Linked DNA regions of Mus musculus. The protein of the gene in region 2 interacts with the protein of the main gene of each other region in a biochemical or structural test. Links are inferred from orthologs where the notes say so. Each region holds a gene or a part of one and is shown on either strand. Other genes may lie near its edges.

What was found.
Region 1: the proteins of Sumo1 (region 2) and Pias3 form a complex in vitro, tested with the Homo sapiens proteins (2 studies listed by BioGRID and IntAct, with this or other methods). The link is inferred for Mus musculus from reciprocal best matches to the Homo sapiens genes SUMO1 and PIAS3.

The regions. Positions count from the first base shown.
Region 1 is NC_000069.6:96,703,281-96,706,677, reverse strand, and holds the end of Pias3 (E3 SUMO-protein ligase PIAS3), read right to left. Parts: intron 3,153-3,397; coding exon 3,019-3,152; intron 2,940-3,018; coding exon 2,771-2,939; intron 2,620-2,770; coding exon 2,486-2,619; intron 2,330-2,485; coding exon 2,292-2,329; exon of another isoform or gene 1,830-2,291; coding exon 1,563-1,829; 3' UTR 608-1,562; downstream 1-607. Other genes in the region: Nudt17 (nucleoside diphosphate-linked moiety X motif 17), read left to right, coding at 150-309. UniProt on the Homo sapiens protein: Functions as an E3-type small ubiquitin-like modifier (SUMO) ligase, stabilizing the interaction between UBE2I and the substrate, and as a SUMO-tethering factor.
Region 2 is NC_000067.6:59,668,066-59,671,814, reverse strand, and holds the start of Sumo1 (small ubiquitin-related modifier 1), read left to right. Parts: upstream 1-980; 5' UTR 981-1,123; coding exon 1,124-1,135; intron 1,136-3,749. UniProt on the Homo sapiens protein: Ubiquitin-like protein that can be covalently attached to proteins as a monomer or a lysine-linked polymer.

The sequences.
Region 1 (3,397 bases), on a different chromosome or scaffold from region 2:
TTAAACCTCCTTGAATGTGTTTCCTTTCTGTCAAGTGAGGTTAACACTCACTTGCCTTCTGCAATACTTGGGAGGATTAAACGGCTCAATATACTAAAGTTCGTTGTAAGCTACAAGGCACAACCCAGACAGAAACTGTTATAATCCAGTGCAACCGAACTGAAGGACGATGGAGGAACCCAACCTCTGGTCCTGCCCATGCCCACACTCATGCGGACAACCCCAACCACAGCAGAGGAGGACAAAGAGAGGATCGGCGCTGGAACCAAGTTTGCCCTCCAGCTCTGGTTGCAACATCTGGGCAGATGAGGTAAGGACCGACTTGCGGGTAGCATAGTCTTGGTACCAGATGATGTTTTTAGGGACATCAAAGAAACAAAGAGAAAGCAACTGCTCTTGGCTATGCTTGTGCGAATGCCCACACTCCCTCCCAGGTAAAAGTGACGTCCACACAGACCACAGACCAGCAAAGGAAGCCTGTCAACCCAAGACCTGGGATGTCCTTCGAGATGGAAGGAGAGGCCCTACTCCATAAAGCTGCCCTCTGACTTCCACGTGCAAAACCATGGTGCACGTGCCCGCATACACAGTAATAAACACTTTAAATGTTCTTTTTTTTTTTTTAAGTGAAAGGATGGAACATGGACCCTCTGCCCCACAAACCCTGGGTCTGGAAAGCGAGGTACAACATCCCTTCCCCTCCATGACGCTCACAGAACATTCACAACCTTTATTGTAGGCGAGAACTCTGCTACAACTTTGGGAATAAAAGTAAAATCACATCACAGGGCCTTGGCCCTGAAGGAAGGGGCCTGAGTATTGGGGAGGAGAACACAGAGCCCCCATGTCCCACAAAAGGTGCAAGAGTAATCCAGGCCTGAACACAGGCCACTAGACGCTTCGCCCCTTGGCTGTTTAGCATAAAAACATTGTGAACTTAAATATATAAATAGAGACCCAGGCAGCAGACAGGCCACGCCTTGCTCCCCAGCCCCTGGGAATCACAACTAAGGCCTTGTTTCCTCCTCGAGTCACACTGGGGAGTGAAAGGCAAGGGATTTCATCTTTGGATGCTTTGGAGTTTTCTTATTTATGTACAAAAAAGAAATCTGCAATCCAAAATAGAGTTCTCTGTCCATCTCTGACCTGTCGCCCGACTGTATGGTCAAAGAGAACGGAATGGATGTCAAAGACCAGATATTTGGGTTTGGGTAGGGAACGGAGAGTCTTGGGAGAGGAGGCAGGAAAGTGCCTTTCCCCAAGAGGCTGAAGATCTGGTAAAGGCTAAGGACCCCCTCATCCCTCAGTCCCTATCCCATCTGCCTCCCACTGCCTAGGTTACCATACCCAGAGGAATGTGCCACCATAAAAAGGTTAAATGTTAACCCTGTGAGTACTGGCCTGTTAGGCAGCGATAAGGCCAAAAGCAGGTATCCATGAAGCTCTGGCCTGGCCTTTGGCCAATGACCCCTGAGGGATCAGAGCAGCCAGGGGTTCGGAACCCACAACGTGATCTGCTCAGTGCTGGGGCCAATGGAGATTGATTTCATAATCCAAAAAGCTCAGTCCAAGGAAATGACGTCTGACCGACAGCCAGTCAAAGAGGGACCTGAAGGCAGGGGTCCTCCATGCCCTTCCCTCAAGGAGCTCCCAGGAGCCACAATGCTGCTGACACGACCAGGAGGGGGCGCTGGAGTGGAGCTGCGGTGAGAGCTCCCCAGTGTGGGGGCCAGTGGGCCCAGGAAGTGGGAAGGGGTTCCCCGGTACTGGAAGAAGTGGCCAAGGGTGTCCTGTTCATCTAGCGAAGTGATAACTGAAGGGCCGTAGTGCTGGAGAGATGAAGGGCACAGCTTGACGTGTTGTCTTGACTCAGCACCTCACTCACCTCAGAACCACCTCGTGGGGTACCAGCCCTCAGGGATCATACAGCATTCTTGAGAAGAAAAGCTGGGAACCTCTGCCTCCACCCTACTCCCCCAGACCCTTCTCCTGTGCCTTGCCTTGAGACAGCCCCTTCAGACATCCAGTTCTTGGCCTTGTGGGTGTCTGAAATGTGTGGAACATCCACTAGGGAAGGTTCTGAGTCCGTGTGGGGGTGAGTGAGCAGGAAGAGTGGGGCTACGAAATCACAGGTGTGACTATGGAGTGACGGGGGCAGGGAAAGGACCATGTTCTCCCCTCACAGGAAAGCATTTTTAAATCCCTAGGGACACTGGGCAGGGGAAGAGCACATCATGTGTCTAGAATGGACTCTTCCGAGATCTTGGATCTTCCTAAACATGGCCACTTACCTGACTCTCAGTCTGAAGGAAAGAAAATAAATCTAAACCTGGTAGGAAAAGAAAAATCAAAATCAACTCCCTTCTGACTCCTTCACCACAAGGGGAAAAAAAAATCCCCCTGTCCCTGGGGCTCGGCAAAGAAACAGGTCTGGAGAGGGTGACAGGGAACGACCCTCCCCTCCACCTTAGGGTCAGTGTTCTACCTTGGATGTCAGCCCCCAGTGGGAAGGCAGGTGGGTACTCATGTAGCGGGAGACTAGACAGGAAGTCACTGCCCAGTGTGCCCATTGCAGGGCTCCGCAGCACCGAGGATGGCTGGTGACCAGAGGTCAGGGCTCTGTGAGTGGAGAGAAAGAGCCGGAGAGCTAGCCAAGCGCAGATGCCCCACGTCCCACTCCGCCTGCTCTTCCCTGTCCCAAAGCTCGACCTGTGGCCAGAAGGCAGTTCTGACTTCTGTCCCTCTGCTATGGGAGCAACCTTTCTCATACCCTTTGCTTCCAGGAAGGGCTGGAATGGCCGCTGAGGTGACAGGGCAGTGCTTCTTGGTGGGGGGCAAATCCTCCTCATCTGATGAGCTTTCGATGGTCAAGTCAATGACTTCGACCCTCTTCTTACTCTCTGGCTGAATTCCCTCCTGGACTGCGCTGTACTGGAGACCTGTGGGTGGTTAAGAAGGCTGTCTCAGAGAAAGGGCCAGCCATGACTTAGCTCAATTGGGGAGCAGGGGGTCACTCACCATCCAGCCCATACCCTGGCGGGGGGCAAACCTCTGATGCCTCCTTCTTGGGTTTCATCGGACACCAGGATCCATCTTCCATGAACTGGATCTCATCACAATCCGAACAGGAATTAAGAATTTCCATGAATAAACTAGGGAGGAGGACATGTGGATTCACGAGGCTGGACGCGGCTGGAGCCACCCACGGTGTTCTGACACTCACTTCCTATGCTTTAGTCACCTCATCTGCATCACCCACCCTCCTGGACCTCCCTGAGCTGCTGCTGGGATAGAATACAGCTGGGACTGTAGCTCAGTAACAGAGCACCTGCTTAGCCTGCAGGCTGAGTCTGATCCCTAGCACTGTGGGGGAGAAAGGATGTAAGAGAGCTTCAGA
Region 2 (3,749 bases):
TTGAATGCATGCATGGGTGCTGGGACTCAGACTTGAGTCCTCTGGAAGAGTAGCCAGTGCTCTTTGACTACTGGGTCATTTATAGTTGGCTCATTACTATTTACAGAAAAGATTATTTTACTAATGTCTTGTTCTGTGAAGGGTTTTTGATTTAAGTTTTCATTTTTCCCCCTTTACTTATTATAACCTTAATCCTCCTTGAATGCTTGTGCAAGGTCACTGTATTCAAAGGAAGCAGTTTAGGTCTTTCTATGACACAAGGCAACTAGTTTATGCGTTGGAAGGCGCTCCTGCCTACAACTTCAAAACTTTCAGTAGCATTTTAGTTGTCTGTAGCCACCAAGACTTTGTTCTAGCTGGGGGTGTGGTGGCACTTGGGAGGCAGAGGCAAGAGGATCTCTACGAGTTGGAGGCCAGTCTGGTTGACATTGCAATGTTCTATAATAGCCAAGGCTATTAGTGAGACCCTGCCTCAAAACACAAGAACAAAAGATGTGTCCTGAAGGGTCGTCTTTTTGTGCCCCCTCATCTCCCCCGCCCCCAACAGGGTTCTATGTCCTGTCCTGGAACTCACTTTGTAGATGAAGATGGCCACGAACTCACAGAGATCCGGTAGCCTCTGCCTCTATCACCCGGAGTCACGAATGTGGCAACAGCAAGCATGAGGGGCCTATAAAAATACTATACGGGTAATTCACTATATTCAGTGAGGGTTGGTCCGGGCCTCAGAAGCGCGCAAGTCGTCCCACCGGGAGGAGCCTAAGCAGTCAGTTTGACCCCAGACATTCGGCCTGCAGGCAAAGCGCTGGTCTCCCTGAGGGCTGCGGCAGCGGGCCTGATTCTCCCTCCCTCCGAAGTCCTAGCAGTTCTCTTGCTCCAGGCAAGTAGTTTACAACCTGGAGGATTTTAGCCCCCGGCCTTCCTTACGGCGTTTTCCCGCTTCCTTTTCCCGTCTTCGCTAACTCGCCTCTGCGCGCAGCGGAAGTGACGCAAGACGTAGAGGAAGTCCCTGCAGCCGCGGTGTTGTGCTGTAGAGAAGGGACGGATTTGTAAACCTCAGAGTGAGGTTCTGCCTGCCGGAGGCCGCAGTGGTGCGGAGACCCCCGGGTGAATCCACGTCACCATGTCTGACCAGGTACCGGGCCGGGGCCTTAGGGCTCAGGGCCGTCGGCCGCGGGCTGGGGCCCTGGACTGAGGCGCGGGGGAGGGGGCGGCTGGAGAAGGGGGCTGCCCGTGGGGAGGGGGCCGCGAGGGACGCGGGGCGCCTGGCGGAGTCGGGCCAGGCCGCCTGGGACCCCGGGGCTCTGGGTTCCACGCGCCCTCCGCGCCCCTCTCCGAGGCCCCTACCCCCGCGCCACCCGGCGCCGGGGCTCTCTCGACGGCGCCCAGGTTTCTCGCGGGCTCGCAGGGGGCCCAGGCCCGCTCCCTTGTCCCCGAGAGCAAGCTGAGGGGAAAACGACCGTTTCCCTTCGGACGACGGATGGCAGAAACCAGGCCCTAGGCCCAGTTATGTAACGGGAGGGAAATCCCCGACTGGGAGGCTAGGTGGCCCTGAAAAGCAGCTCGACTCCACTTTGGGTTCTTGGTCCCGGAGAGTGGGGGGCGGCCGGGGAGCCGTGTCTGAGGTGACTGGGAGCCCAGAGGACGCTGCTTTTCCGTTGTGTTTGCCTGGAGGGTCCGTCCATCTCTGCACACCTCAGTCTTTTTTTTTTTTTTTTCCTTCCGGGGGTGCGGAACGGTCCGCTCTTTCGCTGTACTTTCCATTTCTTACTCGGGATTGGTCCATCAACTCTCCAGTTCTCAGAGCGCTCAGAATAACCGAGAAACAGCAAACTGTGTATGGAGTGCCACCACCAACAAGCCATTTCGTCTGGGCTTTAACCAGCAGATGCTTGGCACTTTAAAAAAAAATATAGCACGTTTTTTGTTCTTTGATAATCAGATGACGCATTTAGATTATATGCACCCCCAAACCTCTCTTCCAGAAGTTTCTGAACTAATTTTCGAAGAAATAGAGAAAAAAAAAGTTATCCGTGTTGTACAATTGCAGAATATTTGCAGAAAGCTGTCAATTAGTAGTAAAACAGTGTGTCTCGGTTTTGGAATCAAGGATTTGCATGGTATTTGCCTTCAAATAGGAGTGACTCCTTGCCACCTAAATTTTTCTTCATCCTATTTTAGTTACTACCTTTGTGGCTAGTTTTTATATACATAAGGTTTTGGTCTGACTTTGCTTTGGTTTGCTCAGATGACTTAATTTTCAGAGTATTTTTTTTTTAACTTTTTCTTCTTTTGTGATAATTATTCAGTAAACTTTTTCATTCAACTTCACAATGTAGTTGGACTTTTTTAAAAAAAAAATTTGTTGTTGTTGTTTGAGACACGGATTTTCTGTGTAGCCTTGGCTTTCTAGGAACACTCTGTAGACCAGGCTGGCCTCCAATTTATAGAGATCGGCCTGTTTCTGTCTCCTGAGTGCTGGGATAAAAGGCTTGTGCCACCACAGACTGGCCAGGGTGGTTCTATTTTTATAGCCTATCTACACTGTAGACTAATTGTGGCATGGATTTACTTATTAATAATCTGAATTAATCCTCTTTTGGGATAGAAATGACTTTATGAATAATTTGTTTATGACAGTTGTTTACTTAGTTACCAGCTCAGAAAGATCAGCTGTAAATGCTTAAGTCCTGGAACTCTGTAGACCAGGCTGGCCTTGAACTCAGAAATCCCCCACTACCTCCCAAGTGCTGGGATTAAAGGCGTTGCCACCACGCCTGGCCTTTGTTTTTTCTTTTCTTTCTTTCTTTTTTTTTTTTTTTTTTTTCTTTTTTTTTTGGGTTAATGCTTAAGTTTCATCAGCCTTCTATTTTGGAAGAGCTAGAAAGCATGTTAGCCTGAAGAGAGGGCAACACACAGAAAGAGTTCTAAGTTTTAGGATTAGTTTTGCTCTAGTTTGAACTCACATTATATAAGGATATGGAGAAAGAAAGGAGGACCCAAGGGCACACACAGGGTTTCAGGGGATCGCAAAGTCACACTGTTGCTTGCTGTAGCACTCACCTCACTGGTCACCGGGGTTATTAGGTGTTGGACCTAGGGCCTCCCACATGTGCTTGCCAGGCAAGTGCTACAGCCTCATTTTTTCTTTTACTTTGTTTCACTAAGTTGCCTAGGTTGGACTGTAGCACAGCTTGCCTTTGAACTTGAACCTGGACTTCTCTCAGCCTTGCAGAGTAGCTGGGATTACAGAGTTATACTGTCACGCCTAGATGGTGTGTGTGTATGTATGTGTGTGTGTCTGTTTTTCTCATTCATGGATATTCAGTGAAGTTTTTAAGAAACATGACAGAAAAATGGAGCAAATCTTTTTTGTAGCCTTACAGCTTCTCACAGTTTCTTCTGTGTCTATCTCCTGAGTGCTGGGATTAAAGATGTCTACCACCACACCTGGCAAAACAAGTCTTTTTAATTGAGCTACACATTAAAGCAATTTGCATATGAAATAGTGCTGCTACTCTTAGAAATTTTGTCTTTAAAAAAAGTAATAAAAATGTATGCTAACGTTTTTTAGGGGTTATTTATTGATTCAAGTTAAGGGTTTCTCTGTAGCCTTAGTTGTCCTGGAACTTGCTCTATAGATCAGCTTGTCCTCAGATCTGCCGGCCTCTTACTCCCAGAATGTATATACCACCATGGCTCAGTTGATAGGTTTTTATTTTTTTTAATTTATTGTATATATGAGTACA